Tribolium castaneum: one gene and its partners. The protein of the gene in region 4 purifies or fractionates together with the protein of the main gene of each other region. This does not show direct contact. Links are inferred from orthologs where the notes say so. Each region holds a gene or a part of one and is shown on either strand. Other genes may lie near its edges.

Evidence for each region.
Region 1: the proteins of Rpa2 (region 4) and Top3alpha purify together in Homo sapiens (affinity purification with mass spectrometry; 4 studies listed by BioGRID and IntAct, with this or other methods). This does not show direct contact. The link is inferred for Tribolium castaneum from reciprocal best matches to the Homo sapiens genes RPA2 and TOP3A.
Region 2: the proteins of Rpa2 (region 4) and serine/threonine-protein kinase ATR purify together in Homo sapiens (affinity purification with western blotting; 3 studies listed by BioGRID, with this or other methods). This does not show direct contact. The link is inferred for Tribolium castaneum from reciprocal best matches to the Homo sapiens genes RPA2 and ATR.
Region 3: the proteins of Rpa2 (region 4) and zinc finger-containing ubiquitin peptidase 1 purify together in Homo sapiens (affinity purification with western blotting; 3 studies listed by BioGRID, with this or other methods). This does not show direct contact. The link is inferred for Tribolium castaneum from reciprocal best matches to the Homo sapiens genes RPA2 and ZUP1.

What each region holds. Positions count from the first base shown.
Region 1 is NC_087399.1:1,861,468-1,865,410, forward strand, and holds the start of Top3alpha (DNA topoisomerase 3-alpha), read right to left. Parts: upstream 2,812-3,943; 5' UTR 2,713-2,811; coding exon 2,557-2,712; intron 2,510-2,556; coding exon 2,300-2,509; intron 2,256-2,299; coding exon 2,003-2,255; intron 1,952-2,002; coding exon 1,781-1,951; intron 1,732-1,780; coding exon 416-1,731; intron 1-415. Other genes in the region: calcium-activated chloride channel regulator 4, read right to left, coding at 3,288-3,943. UniProt on the Homo sapiens protein: Releases the supercoiling and torsional tension of DNA introduced during the DNA replication and transcription by transiently cleaving and rejoining one strand of the DNA duplex.
Region 2 is NC_087399.1:7,319,175-7,323,389, forward strand, and holds the start of serine/threonine-protein kinase ATR, read right to left. Parts: upstream 2,812-4,215; 5' UTR 2,537-2,811; coding exon 1-2,536. Other genes in the region: vito (nucleolar protein 12), read right to left, coding at 2,949-3,486, 3,552-3,646. UniProt on the Homo sapiens protein: Serine/threonine protein kinase which activates checkpoint signaling upon genotoxic stresses such as ionizing radiation (IR), ultraviolet light (UV), or DNA replication stalling, thereby acting as a DNA damage sensor.
Region 3 is NC_087399.1:5,853,372-5,857,572, forward strand, and holds the start of zinc finger-containing ubiquitin peptidase 1, read left to right. Parts: upstream 1-1,390; 5' UTR 1,391-1,520; intron 1,521-1,614; exon of another isoform or gene 1,615-1,618; 5' UTR 1,619-1,619; coding exon 1,620-1,864; intron 1,865-1,915; coding exon 1,916-2,185; intron 2,186-4,201. Other genes in the region: mitochondrial 2-oxoglutarate/malate carrier protein, read right to left, coding at 148-376, 422-1,051, 1,160-1,224. UniProt on the Homo sapiens protein: Deubiquitinase with endodeubiquitinase activity that specifically interacts with and cleaves 'Lys-63'-linked long polyubiquitin chains. Shows only weak activity against 'Lys-11' and 'Lys-48'-linked chains.
Region 4 is NC_087399.1:4,631,347-4,634,316, reverse strand, and holds Rpa2 (replication protein A2), read right to left. Parts: upstream 1,530-2,970; coding exon 1,443-1,529; intron 1,397-1,442; coding exon 1,298-1,396; intron 1,252-1,297; coding exon 1,138-1,251; intron 1,094-1,137; coding exon 714-1,093; intron 667-713; coding exon 582-666; 3' UTR 502-581; downstream 1-501. Other genes in the region: triokinase/FMN cyclase, read left to right, coding at 1,788-2,016, 2,058-2,735. UniProt on the Homo sapiens protein: As part of the heterotrimeric replication protein A complex (RPA/RP-A), binds and stabilizes single-stranded DNA intermediates that form during DNA replication or upon DNA stress.

The DNA of each region.
Region 1 (3,943 bases), about 2.8 Mb from region 4:
AAATTTGGTCTTGTCTCGGTATTTTAATAAAACCTGGCCGAAAAATTCAAACATTTATAATCTTCATACAATAATTATTATAAAACGAATTGCATAGACTGAGCGGAAACATTAAAATTTCCTTTTCGTAAAACATCATATTCTATTGTTATGTCTTTACTTTTTTCCAGATGATTATTTAAGTATTTTTCTGTCGCAAATTTACCATTTTTGCAGCCAATTATTACCTAATTTATCTGCATCTCACTTAAAGTGATTATGTTTTTGTTAATGACGATTTATCGATATTCTCCCACAATTTATTCACTTTATCACCGATCGTTGTCCCCAGCGGACGTCACTATTTGATAAAAATAAATGTTTGTTATTTTTTTAATCGGTAAGTTTGGGATCAATCCGTGATTTTACCACTTACCTGCGGACAACTCTCGTCCAAAACTTCAATAGTCTCCACATTTTGCGACAACCAGATCGCATTCCGACAGTCTGGATAACCCGTACACGAGATAAACTTCCCCGCGTTATTTTTTTTGTTCCTAATGGTCATATCATTCCCACATTTTGGACATTTCAAAACCGGCCTAACTTCCACATTCTCATAGTGTTCATCCTCAACGACCTGTGGCCGATCAGCCAGCCGATTAGCCAAGCATTCGTCAATTTGCCTCATTTTCTCAACCACAGTTTCAAAAACCGCCCGATATTTCTGAATTTGTTCTCTCCGCACAACTTCCGGGTCTTTCAAACCGTCGCAAATCAGCTTCAAGTCCTTCTCAAAATCGGCCCGTAGAATCGGCTTAGCCAGACTCACTTCTAGCCCGATATTATTGTAACCCTCAACCAGGCCCATGCCAAGGGTGCCCGGGACGAAATAAATATTTTCATGCAAGCCCACGTATTCCCGCGTTTTGATAGTGTCGATGTGCTCGGCGTGGGTGGCATCGGTCCCAATGCCGTGCTTTTCCATCAACGCGATCAAGTCGGCTTCGGTTAGTAACTTCGGGGGCGCAGTTGCGCCTTCGTAAAGCTCCAAAACTGAGGGGATGAAAGTGTCGCCTTGTTGGTAGCTGTGGATTTCTTTGGCGTTCCATTTTTCGTAGGTGTACACTTCGAGGTAGTTTTTTTCCAAGATTATTAGCCCTTTGGCTGTGAATTTTTCCCCAGCAATGTCCGCCGTGACCACGGTTTCGAAACCTTGAGCGTCCTTGTGGACGCAAGCTAGGAAATGGCGCACGATGTATTCGTAAACGCGTTGCTCATTTCCCGTTAAATTATCCGCGTGTTTTGTTGGGTGTATGGGAGGGTGGGCCTGGTCTGACTTTTTGCCCTGTCTGGGAGCGGGGCCCCCTTCGTTCATTATGCGGTGCGCGAAAGCGCCCCAACGTTGGTCGTTTTGTTGCAATGTTACCAAGTTCGCTAAGTTTAATTCCTTAGGGAAGATGTTTGTTTCGGTTCGGGGGTAACTGATCAACCCTTGAGTGTACAGTTTTTCGGCGATTTTCATCGTGTCTTTAGCCGTGATTTTGAGTTTTCGGGAGACGGTTTTCTCCATTTCGACGGTGTCTAGGGGCAAAGGGCGCCACTTGCTTTTGGGCTTGCCTTCGACCTTTTCGACGGTTGCGTTTGGAGATTCCTTACAAATGTCCAAAATTGCCTCGCAGGCGTTTTTGTCGAAGAGGCGGTCGCGTTTCCACGTGAATTCGGTCGTTATGTCGTTCACAGTGTGATTCACTGCGAAATAACCGTTTTTTTAATCATGAAAATTGGTATTTAAACTAACTTTTGATTTTCCAAAACGGTTCTGGGATGAAATCCTGAATGGCTTGGTACCTTTCTACCACAAACCCCAAAGTGGGGAACTGGCAAGAGCCGTAACTTATCAGTCTATCGGCGAGCTTTTGGGGGAAAACTCTCTGTAACCGCAGGGTTTGCAATCTGGTAAAAGCAGCTCCTGTTTAACCACGTTTCTTCAACAATAAATTACAACAAGCAAAGAACTGACCTGTCCTCAAGTCCAACTCTTGTCGTACATCAACCGCGTCACTTACGTTCTTGTTGGGTTGTCCTAGCGTATTTAGGGCCCTAAATATGGAAGCGGCCGTGATTTCGGAAAACTTGGCGCGATAAATCCTCAAATTGGGCTTAACGTCGCTACAAACCTTGATTATTTCAAACCCGATATTTTCCCCTTCGCGATCGCAATCGGTCCAGATTATCAGCCCCTGACACGACCTGATTTCCCGCTCTAAAGTGCGCTACAAGTAGGTTTAGTCTAAAAACTGGGGACACCACGTCTAACCTTAATTTTTTGGTAATCTTCCGGGCACATTTTAACAACCGGTGCGTCGAACAGTGCAACAGGATTGCACGACTTCCAGTTGCGAAAACTGGGCCCGAATTCGTAATTTAATAAATGGCCTGAAACCGAAGTCATGATCATGTGGGCCTGTTGGCCCATCACGGTCGCGTCGAATTCGTAGATTTTGTTGTAGGGCGAGAAGCCCTCACGCTGGAATTTTTCTCATTGTTAAAATGCTCAACCGAGTGACTACAAACCTTCTGTGAAGCCCCCCGGGACAGAATTGCAGCGATATTTTTGGCGGCATCGTTTTTCTCGGCCACGTTTAGGTATCTCATGATTGCTGGACGTGCCCCAGTGCTACAGAATCGTGCGCTTACATTTAGTAAAGAGGAAATTAGTAAACATCCCATTTAAAACACATTTTTTGCGGTTTTTAACCAAAACAAATTCGAATTTGGGATTTTTGACGGACAGATGACAGCAGCAGCCATGTTTGTGGCACACAAAGTCCCCAGATTGCTGGATGTGGCTAAGGTGCCAACGCGTTCGAGTTTTTAAATCGGAAAAATCGCGCGATATTTTATTCAGAACGTAAGGGCCGGTTAATTGTATTTTCGTAAGAAAAACTGATCGAACTAAAAATGGTTTATTGCAAGTTTATATTTGTCGACAAATTACAAAACTTATGAAAATATATACAGATTTGATCGTACCACTAGGTATATGTACAAAAGCCTAAGATTACGATTACGATATAGAACGGCCACCCACATTGTCAAATAGTCAAAAAACGTGAGATCAGTCTCAAAAAATTTGTATAAAACTACAAACAATCACTTACATGCTACGTACTGGCTGTATATTAACGTACATCAACATTGACTAGCAGAATCAATTTACAAAAAAGAAATAATCAACAAAAACGCTTATTTTATTCCTCCTCGTGTCATAAATAGGTCGTATAAGTCTCTGTGATCACGCACCGTTACACCATTGTCACATTCCGCCGCTTCTTGTCACCACTGTTCACCGACGAGAGCGACCCCTGAAGACTGGGGTTAAACGGGCCTAGGGCCTCATTGCGGGTCTGATACATGTGGTTATTGCCTTGGTGCACCCCATAAATGTTGTAATTGACGGGATAACCGTTCGAATTGAACGCCGGTAGCGGTGGGACGGGTGGCGGGATGTGGTGCTGGGTCGGGTAGTGCCCATTCAGACTCATATGGTCCTGGGACATATGGTCGGCTTGGGGGTTCATCAAGAGGTCCTGATGGGTGTTGACTTGATCGTCCATATTCTCCATGGGACTGTGACGGCGTTCGTGTTCGTGCAACAATTGAGACGCGCTCCATGAATTGTACGGACTCAAAGTGTGACCGTTTCGGTTTAACGTACTGTTTGAAATAACACTCAATCCTTGGTAACCTTGGTTCGGAGTCCCTAAATCCCGCTGTTGGTAGTGGACCATTTGTTGCTGTTTCAATTCTTCGATCAGTTGTTGCTCCTGTTGGTTGACCAAAGAGTAGCGTTTTTTCTGCTCTTCTTCGTACTCGTCCTTGATCGGGACGCCAATTTGGTGAGGATCGGGCAAGTCCGTAACGTAGTGTTGATTCTGAGGCACATTTTGCGGACTACTGG
Region 2 (4,215 bases), about 2.7 Mb from region 4:
AAGTCTGGTTCACAATGCACAAGTGTGCGATCAGTTCGCACATCTCGCGCTTGTTTTGCTTGTAAAGTTGGCTGGGGGTGGTGTCGTGGAGCTCAGCCAACTTGAAGAATTTATTTACGGCGATTAGCGAATGTTTGGACGTCGGCACCATGATGAAATAAATCAAAATTCGAATTGTTGGTAAAACAGTTCTCTCGCATCTAACGTTGCAAATTTCCTCAACTGTACACAAGAGTGTCTCTTGCAAGGTAAAATCGCTAGTTTGGAGACTCCTCTTGCAAAGCCTCAATAAACAATTGAAGAGTATTTCAATTGTTTCACTTTTAGTAGTGTCGCTCAAAACTTGATTCTCTTGCGCACACTTGATAATTTTTGGGACCACTTTCGCGAACGTTTTTCGCACGTTTTCGTCAGAATCGCCGATTTTTTCGACCCAAATTTTGGCAACGTTGCCCGAATGGAATTTGAGGATGTGGTTGGAGCAAAACGGCAACACCTCCAAGGCTCTCGATTTGAGGCCCGCATTGTCAAGAGTGAGGAATTTGAGGACGTTTTTCAAAATGGCGCCTTGGAGAGTTGTCAAATCGACGTCAATTTTGGCAAAAGTGACACTCAATCCGTCACTTGTCAAGTCATGACATTTTTTACAAAAAATGTCAATTTTGACTTGACACTCTTCGATTCGTGTCAGTTTGACAAAATCACTCGACGAGACGCAAATAATGTCAGGCAGGGCTTCGGTCACTTCTTCCAAAACCCGTTCGTTTGATGACGAAAGGGCCGGTGTGAGGATTTCCGAAATGACCCGGTCTGGGTTTTGAAAGATTGTCAAAATGTGGGCTAAATGCCTGACAACCCCCACGTTATTCATTTGTTTGGTGATTTTCATAAAGTTTGATTCAATTTCGTAAATTTGGGCGATTTCGAAAAAACCGCTCGAAATTCGCGCCAAAAATTCATTCAAGTATTCAAACGCGACGTCCTTTGGGGCGTAACGAGTGACGTATTTGCAAAATTCGGTCATTTCCTTTTTGTATCGTGGGAAATCGCTCGTGCCTTGAAAGTGTCCAAAGCTGAGTTGATTTTGCACAAAAATACAAGAAAACATATCGAAGAAAAAAGTAACGTTTGGGGGACTGGTAACGAAGACTAGACTCAAAAAACAGTCGAAAATTGAGGGCATTGGCACGTTGTTGTCACACGTGGCGAAATGGCGATTGAGGAGTGCCAGGATTTTGATGAGGAAAATTTTCTCCTCAAAAAATTCCAAATTCGAGTTTTTCATTTCGATTGCGACTTCGGTAAGGATTGTTGCAAGGTGGGTCAGAAATTTCAAAAATTGGGGTATTTTACAGTCTTTAGTGCAATCGGTGGCTTCAATTTGTTGCATAAATTGGCCACGAAAAATTTTCCATTTGTCCGAATGTACACACTTGATTTTACAAGCCTCCTGTCTTATATTTCTAACTTGGGTCAACAAAAATGACTTAAAACCACAAAGTACCGACGTATTGAAATCAGCTAAGGCCGTTTTGACGAAACTTTCATAATTGTATTCTCCAAACAAGGGGGTACACCTCTTGCGTTTACAAAAATTCAAAAGTGGCTCCGATGGCGCAATTTCGCCGGTTTTGGTGAGCAAAAACTCGCTCAATTTTTCGAAAATTTGGGTATCCAAATTCTGGCCGAAAAACTCAAACGTGATGAGTTCAAACGATTGGAATTCTTTTGTACTTGTGGCTATTTTACAATTGTAAATTTCATAAACTAACTGTTCGAAATATCGCCCGAACAGCTCCATTTTAAACCGGATTAAGTCACCGAAATCGTTCTTCTTGTCGAATTTTTTGGCCAAATCGAGATAAATCTTTAGAATTTCGATTTTTACGGCGACTGAAGAATAGGAAAGAAAAAACAACAAATCGTCCAAATTCCGGTACGTGGCGCTTGTGTAACAGTCAGACTCTACGCTTTGGCCCAAAATAAATTTAACAATCCTCAACAAATTGAGGAAAAAATCGGGGAAGTTTCTCTGATTGATTTCGATAGCGATCGGCTCGAGGTTCAATTTCTGGCACAAATCTGCGTATTTCTCGGGGACAAAAACGTTGAGAGTTAAGGTGCTGTGCCCGGATTTGACAAAATGGCACAAACTGTTCAGGGTTTCGCAATAGTCCCGTGCCAACTCATCGTAAACGCTCAATTGTGTGTTTGATAGCTGTTCCAAGACACACAACTGGATCTCAACGTAAACATTGTGACTTTTGCACAACTTTTCGCAACTCAGAAGGTAGAAAAAGCGGCCGAGAAACCACGTCGTGAAGGACTTGTACTTCCCGGCGATCCTTCGGTAGTCGTCAAGACTGCTCAGGGGGTCCCTGCTGTAGACGAAAATGGTTGTGAAATCCCCCGATTTGATTATTTTAGCCAAATGTTCGGCGCTCTTTTCGGACGGTTTCATGCTCATTAGGGCCGGAATTGTCGCGCTTAAGGTCTCCCAAATGGAAAAAGCCGGGATTTCGTCGTGTAGTGACATGACTTAACCTAACAAAAAATGTAACGGTACTTACGTCACGGGGGCCGAAAGTACTTACATAAAGGAGATAAAAAATCACAAACTAGAAATAATTACACGAAACATTGTCTAATTCACGAAAACAGACTACATTTTTTGACTTTTGGCGCAATCCCGCGCAATGGAACTGAATCGTGTGAAGTTGGCAACAGGTGCTGATTTAAATCGGGTGATAATTCGGAAACCAATGTATGAAATAAAGTGATTGTTGTAAATTTAAATAAAGTAAGGGAATATTTATTGGGTTATTTTTTTTAATAATTATTAGGGCACGTGTAAGAGGTGTGTTAGTATCCACTGGTGTGAAATTAGCCACAATGACATAACCTCAAGTAATAAAAATCCTTTATTTCTTTAATACAAAAATAACAATTCAGTGCCGTTTCCTCTTCTTCTCTTTCAATTTCATCTTCTGCTTGTTCTCCCGCCTCGCCTTCTTCCTCTGCTTCTGCCCCTCGATTTTCGTCTTCATCTGGAAAACCTTGCTCTTCTGCACTTTCTTGGTGGCCTCCTTTTTGAGTAATCGCTTCACGTCGCGTTCTGAATCAAACTTCCGATTCACTTTACTGTCCTTCTTCTTCAATTCCATCCCAGGCACTTCACTGACTTCACTTTCTTCCTGTTCAACATCTTCACAAATCGGCTGATTGGCCCCAATCCAGTTACTCTCTTTGGCGATCACGTCGGTCGATAACTCCTCAATTCTGACAGTGGCATCATCGTCCTCATACTCCTCTTTGAGAAGGGTCTCCAATTCAGGGATTGGCCGATGGGAGACAACCAATTTTTTGTAAGACTCCTTCGCCTCTGACTTGAGACGCTTCCGCTCCTCCTTCAAGTCGCGCTCGAGCTTCTCGCGGGCTTCTTTCTTGCGCTGGAGCTTGCGTTTGTGGAAACCGGTGAGAAAATCCCTGTGAGGTTATGTAGTGACATGTGCTCAATTCATTACACGTAAAAACGGCGAAATTCAACGAACCTACGCTTCTTTTCGTCGAACACCAGGTGTATTTTGTTTGTGCGATTTTTGGGATTTTTTTGGCGATTTTTTTTAACTGATGAACCCGCAGCCATTTTGACAATTTGTGTTTTCTTTTTTCCAGTACTCGAAGTAAATAAGTCAAGGCGAAAGCCGTGCTCATACTGCGGTTCAACCGCGATTTAAAAATCACTCTTTCATTTGGCTGAAAAATGGTAAATTTGTTCACAAATGCGAGAATGTAGGCAGTTAGTGGTTGCTAAAATTTTGGTTTTTGAGGGAGTTTTGAGTCATGTTATGAAATTGGGAGTTTCGTTGATTAATCATCCCTTTCACGCCTTTGGTGAATTTTTCGACCAATCACAGCCATATCGTGGCATAAAGTCGGCGCTCATCTCATCATGGCTGTCAGTATAAATTTGATCGTAGAATCATGAACTTCCCTTCATTTAAATCGTCATATAACCCGAATTTTTCGCCAATCTTTGCACCAAAGCGCCGAAAAGTGATGATGAAACGCTACAAAATGTCCCTGTCGATCAAGTGACACCGTCTCCGGCCCTAAAGTAAGTGCCCTTGCCCCAAAACCCCCAAAAACCCCGATTTTCCCCAACGCTCCGATCTCCATATTAGCCCGAAAATCGGGCACTTGACCTCGCTCATC
Region 3 (4,201 bases), about 1.2 Mb from region 4:
TTAGAAAAATTCATTGCTTAACTGACCTACACCTTATTAATGAAATGATTTTGTGCAACTTATTCTAAATAAAATTTCAGCGATATGTAAATAAAACAAACTTTAATAAAAAACATAAGCGTAACATTTGCTTCACTTCCCTTGTCGTTACAATTGCCCTCCGGTCCCCGACTTCCCCAAAACGATTTTATTATACGCCGAATTCATTTGCTCCAAGAAAATAAACGTGAGGACGGTGTGCGGCCCTAACCTGAAGTAGTACGGAGTGAAACCTTTCCACAAAGCGAACGGCCCTTCGTTCTTCACGACTTTGACTAAAACATCGAGGGCGCCCGAGTACTCCGGCTTACCATTGATTGTTTTCATGTTTTGAATCCTGAAATAGTAAAATCAGAGACGTGATTTTGAATCAATTTTCTACCTAGTTTTGGCAATATCGACTGGCATCGAGGCGGCCGTTGTGACCAACCCCGAAATCATAGAGGCACAGAAATGAAGGAAAATCCCGTCGTGGAAGAATCCCGTATTTAAGAGCATTTGCTTGGCTTGCGAGTACGTGGCCAACTGGGCCGCATTAACCACCATAGCGCGCCCCATTGTGGGGATTGCGCCCCTCCAAAGGGTCAAAACCCCTTCCTCCTTTGTTATCCTGAAGAGAGCGTCGAACACGTTCTTGTAGTTGCGCCTTTCGGCGGCTGGGAGACGTCCGTCTGCGGTCATCCGAATTAGGGACACTTCGGCTGGGGTTCCCACAAACGCGCCACACACGCCTGCCATCATCCCCAACCCCGCCTTCACAATGAAGCTTGGGGGCTTCCCCTCCTCGGAAAAAGTCTCGAAAAGCCACGAGTACACCCCCAGACGGGTCGTTGTGTAAGTCGCTTGGCGCAAAAGCCCAGCTGAGAGGCCCGTATACAGGGCAAAAACCCCCTCGTTGGAGATGATTTTCTGGAGGACTTGGAACGAAGTCGCCCGCTCTTTTTGTGTGGCCGCTAGTTGCATTCGATTTTTGAGCAGGTCTAAGGGCTGGACGAAAAGGGTGCCCGCCATGCTGAAATATTTGAATTTGGCGGAGTTGTATTACCAACCTTGGTGGGTAAGAAATGAGCGGATTAAGGATAAGATAAGAGGGAAATCGGATTAGTTAAGCGGAGCTTACCCAGCTGATCCCCCGAATAAGAATTTGATGTACTTGGGCATTGTTTTCTCTTTGTTGTCCCCCATTTCGAATTTGGACTTCACTGGTATTTAACGCGTCAAACTGTCACAAGAAAGTGACTCGATCGTTCGTATTTCATGTAAATCGTTTCGTTTATTTACGATTTGTGGCTGTGGAGGTTGCAAAGGTCATTTCGTACGAGAAAAGCACTTTTATGTCGATTTTATGGTGGGGCAATCGTGCCAACATAGGCAATTCATTATGCAGATTTGCTATGCGGGTTGCCGAAGTAGGTCAATCAAACTGTCAAATGAATCGCAACATTTTCAAAATTGGACGAAAATCACAACGTAAACAGCAGGTGAGCCCCATTGTCCCCCCTTTACGAACAGTACCCCACTTTTGGCCAATTTACTCGCACCTTTGTGGCGATACAATTCTGATAACCTCAAAAGGTAGGATGGCTAGCAACATCCCCGATTTGTTCTACTCCTGCGAGATCTGCGGCCTGGAGGGCTTGAGTGAAGACGAGTTCCGGACGCACACACGCACTGCCCACGTCGACGGCAATGCCGTGTGCCCCTTTTGCGAGTTATCGGCCGTCTCGCCCGCTGAACTCATCCTTCACGTCAACCAGGCCCACTTGGACTACCTCACCCCCGAATCCGAGTCCAACATGACCTTCATCGACGACGTCAGCCCCAGGTATGGCCCCCATTGCAGTCCCGCACCTACCACCAGCAGCGCTTTTTCCAGCGAGTACAACGGTATTAATGGGGAAAGTAGTGATAATTGGAACATTCCGTCTTTGCCCAGCCATAATAAAACCAACATTAACAACATCAACCTGTCCCCGAAAGTTAACGGGGGCGGCGAACTCAGTCCGAAAAATTCCACCCACGGTCAGGGCTCCCCCTTGCGATCCAGTCTCGCCTTGAAGTTGAAGAGTGCGGCCCCCAGAATGCAGTGCCCCATGTGCAATTATACGAGCAACAGTCCAAACGAGCTCGAGGAGCACGTCAACAGGTAATTTCGGAAAAGTTAACGGAAAAGGCCAAAATTATGTAATTTTCTCATTTTTTCTTTGCTTTTTTTGTCTGTTTTGGCGAATCTATTTGAGATGAGTGAGTTTTTAGTTGCATAGTAATTTCATTTTTGCACTTTTCAGTTTATTTGAGCAAAATTGTTCGAGAAAAGTTTGTTTTTTGAAAAAAAAACACAAAAAAAGTAAAAGATAACGCTTTTGTTTATACTATTTATTATTATTATTATTATTATTATTATTATTATCATTATTATCATTATTATTGTTGTTGTTATTTATTTTTTACGACTTTTCACACTTAACCTTGTTAGAATGATATAAAAGATGCTCATTTTTATATCTGCTCTATTATCACTTTTTTAATGTTTACACAACTATCAAATTCACACTGTATATTAAATCTGGTGAAACATCAAAATACCTAGTGTCAGTTTCGACGATTTTTCGAATCTTCACTGTAAATTTTTTGCTGTACAAAGGAAATTTCTCAAAATAAGTGAGTTTTTATTTAAAAATACACAATTTTTTTACTTGATTTAGTGATTTTTCGGCATGTTTGCACTAAATCACTCTAAACAGGTCAAAAAACGTCATTATCGATCTAATTAGTGAACTTTAATTTTGTAAAATCAGTGAGTTTCTCGCTCAAATTCCAGATAATTCTAACGAAAAAGGTCAAAATAATGTTATTTTAGATCTACGATATTTGTGACTTTTGAGGTTCAGGCAGGAATATTGCGAAAAAGTTAGGCGTAAAGTATTTAATTTTCTACTTTTATTAGAGATAATTTTTTCATGTATTTGAAGAATTTAAGCATTTAAAATGGCCTTCTTGGGAAATTTTGCAAAAATATTAGCGTGTTACTTAACAATACGAGTGTTTACCGAAACAGATCAAATTAAGATCGTTTTCGAATATCAAATGGAAATTTTTGCCGTATTAGGACATTTAATAAAATAGGTGAGTTTTTGTTACAGAATAATTATGTAATTAATGGTATTATGTTATTTCCGGGGCAGTTTTAGCGAAATCTTGCAAAATTACTGAAATTTTATGTCAAAAAATATCAAAAAAGACTCCGAAAAGGCGAAAGTTTTCTGTCTGATTTTGTAATTTTTTGGTATGCTTTTGATGAAATTTTGTGAAAGAATTGCTTTTATGGCTGAAAAACGAGTAAAAACGCTAAAATAAAATAAAAACAGTGCAATTATCTGCTTAATTTGGTGATTTTTTTGACATATTTTAGAGAAATCTTGCAAAATTACTAAGATATTAAGCTTGAATAGGCTAAAATAACTCAATTTCTTATCAAACTTTATCTTCTTTTGGGTTAATTTCCAAATTTCCTGATATTTTAGTTGAAAATGACACCATTTTTTGACTAATTTTGTGTTTTTTTCGGTTTGTTTTTTAAATTTTGTAAAATAATTGCGTTTCTACTTGAAAAAAAAAAAAAAATCGAACATACATGCTAGACAAAGTAAAAACAGTGGAATATCTACTTAATTTTGGATTTTTCGGCTTATTTTAGAGAAATTTAGTAAAATTACTAAGATATTAGGCTTAAAAATGTAAAAATAGTTAAATTTTTTATCAAATGTTGCCTTCTTCTGGGGTAATTTTAACAAAATTTTTAAATAAAATTGGCATATACATAATGTTATTTTCGATCTATATTTGTTGTTTTTTTTTTAACCTATTGTAGGCAAACGTAATCATATTCAAGTACATAATTTTCAACAATTTTTCGATATACCTATCATGGAATTATTCGAATTTATAATTAGAGTTAGCTTTTGTTTTTTTTTTTGTGAATGATAAACTAGTGCAATCTGAGGGAAAACTGTATTCTAATTAAATATTACCGTTCGAAATTTTATCATTCGACTTCCCAACTTGATTAATAAATTATGATAATCACCGTTTTGAATCAAGTTAAAAAAGTATGAAAACTTATTGTAATTATTAATTCAAATGATTACATGATATTGTCACA
Region 4 (2,970 bases):
GTAGCTTCCACAAAGTACAAAAACACTTTAGCTCTATTACACAAATAATAATCGAAAAAAATTGTGCCTACATTATTAAATTTTCCTTAAACAAAGGCTACGATGTAATTGTGTATTTTTTGGAATAAAGAAGGTACGAATACTTAAAGATTTCGCTAAAATGTTTTATCCACACTACCTTGTACATGAAAAAAAAAACACGCGTACTCTTTATTTTTCACCTAGCAACAATTTATCTCAATGTGAGTATAATTGGTTGCCTGAACTTTAAACTCAACTGAAAGAAATTTCTCTAATTTATCTTTTATTTTTGTTTCTGTATCGTCCGTAAAGGTACAGAAACTAAAATGAGTTCATAAAATAACCCAACCGCACATGTTGGTATTTTTTTCATCCATCAACTTTTAACTCATCGTAAAAAAAGTCAACTTTAGTGGTTTTAATCTTTTCTAAGACCTTTATAAGGATGTGTGAGGATTAATAGGTAAAAGAAACACGAGCTTTTGCAAAGGAAAATGTATTTAAAGTATACGAAAAATGTAAAGCAACCAGGGTGTACAAAAAAATAAAATGAAACAAATTTAATCCGCATCTGTGGCCTTGTAATGATCGGTGTCAACAGTAGTATACACATGCCCCTCATCCAGCAAGAAATCCAAAGCGACTCTGGAACACACCATCAAACAAAACCCCACCTGTAAATAAATACGCACTCAGCCTCCCTTGCTTGTGCTCCAAAGTGCTGCATAATTTCGCTCCTACTCAACCCAGTCCTACTTTTGATAGGTTTCAACAAATTGATAATTTTGACTTGCATCGGCTTAAGTCCCGACGAATTATTTGCAGCAGCTGACGTGGACGTTGTGGCCACAGTGGTCGATAAATTAGCAGCTGGGAGCCTCCCATCGGCCAGTCTTTCAGCGTATAATTTAGCTTGAATAATCTCCAAGAGATGATTTGTGACGATGTTTAAATCATCAACTGGAAGGATTTTGAGAATCATGATCATTTTTTCACCGTCTTGGGTGCGCACTGAGCCGAAAACACGCACGTAGCAATTTTCCTTGACGGGGGGAAGGGCCGTCACAGTGTCCTGCTGGCAAAAATAACGAAACGAAAACGAACAAATCTACTTACGTTATCGGTCTCCAGCCACATAATGGCCTTAATGGAGGCACTGTGGTCCTCAATGGTGCACGTGGCTTTGGTCGTCTGGACCTCAAAGTCTTTCAAAACCCCCACGACATCAGCCTGAATTTTTCATACAAAAAACACAAAAAAACGGGATAAAACTTACGAAATGGACCGGCATCCCGTACAAATTGAACTCCTCATCGGTGCACTCAAGGATATGCGAAATGAACAAAGGGACAACACTTTGCATGCGCCTCACTTGCTGCAATCAGAGGAGTAAAGACAAGCACAAAAAGCGCCCCACAAACCTGTTTTTTCTTGGCAGTGGACCCTTGGTTATCATCATTTACGAAACCGCCGTTGTTACTGATATCAAACTGATCAACACTAAACATTTTCACGTTTTAATAAAAATCAACAATTGCGGTTAAGAGTGGCGGGAAATTCTGACAGTTGCCTGACACCTTCGTAGGGACTTTCCATTTGCACGGGCAAAAACTAGGGATTTTTACATATTGTTCAAAATTCAAAAATAAATTTTCGAAAAAAAAATATTTTTTACAAAACAACCGGCCCACAAGTCGGGGGCCACTGATGTAGAGGGCGCCACTTTCCTGTTTGTTTTGTGTTATTTTAGGTTATCTCAAAATTAAATGGAGAGCCCCCTTGATGTGGGGAGTGGGCCGGTGAAGGTGCGCGACGCCCTTCTGGGGCTCACTGCGCTCAACCACGACGTGGTCTTGCTCGACTACGGCAATGTCGTGATCCAAAGGGATTACAGGAACTTGTCAAAGGTCCGACTATTGTCAGGCGGTGTCGCTGGGACTGACCTAATTCACGCCGTTTGTGTGGGCAAAGGGATGCTAACGGCTGCCATTCTGGGTAATTTACCGAATTATTGGCCCTGTCTTACTGTTTTGCAGGGGAGGAGACGGTGCCAAGCTCCCGTCAAATTCTGCACACGATTAAGGAGCTGAACGAAGGGGACAATTGCGGGATTTGTGTGATAGTGCAAGCAAACGCTGATTTGTTCAATTTTGGGTTGGCGGTCGAACGGGCCAACACGGACTGCCGGACACGAGTTAAACTACTCCCAATTAATGACGATAAGAGCGCTAAAAAGGAGCGATATTCGTGCGGGTTTATCCTCCTGGCTAAAATTCTGGGGGCCTTGGCGGAAAGCGGCGCCTTGTACAATGATGTTTGCGAGTGTTATAAACAAATAATTGATCAAATTATAACCGTTCCTTTGAACTACACGCACGATGGGTCGGGCACCCGAAAACGCAAAAGTTTAGTTCTGTCCGATTTTGAGTCAAACTTTAGACACATTATTGATAAAAAATCGCAAGTTTTCTTAGGCCTTCACCCCTCTATACCGACGGTCGCTCTAATTAACGCGTCTAGAACAATGGAGAGATACGTAGAGTTGAGTTTTGTCAAACAAGTCATTGAAAGACTGAAGGAACTGGGCGTTTGTGTTGTGCGAATTTATTACGGGAATTTCATTTCAGTGGCCCCCGGAACGGCCTTTCTGACCGTAATGAAGGTGCACGACATGAAAATTATCGATTACTTGGACGCCCCATGCGGCGCCACCGGTAGGTCTTACATATTTTTTACAAAAAATATAAACAATGCATTAATAACAATTGTTATTAACAATACGAGTGCGAAAAATCAAGCTTAAAGTTCGAGGACTGTCGTTATGCAACGAGCGTATGCGAGTGTGATTCAAGAAAAATTTTTTTGTTGGAACATTTTAATTTAAAAACAAAAATTAAAAATAATTAATAAAAAAAAATAATAAAATAATAAAAAAAATTAAAACAATAA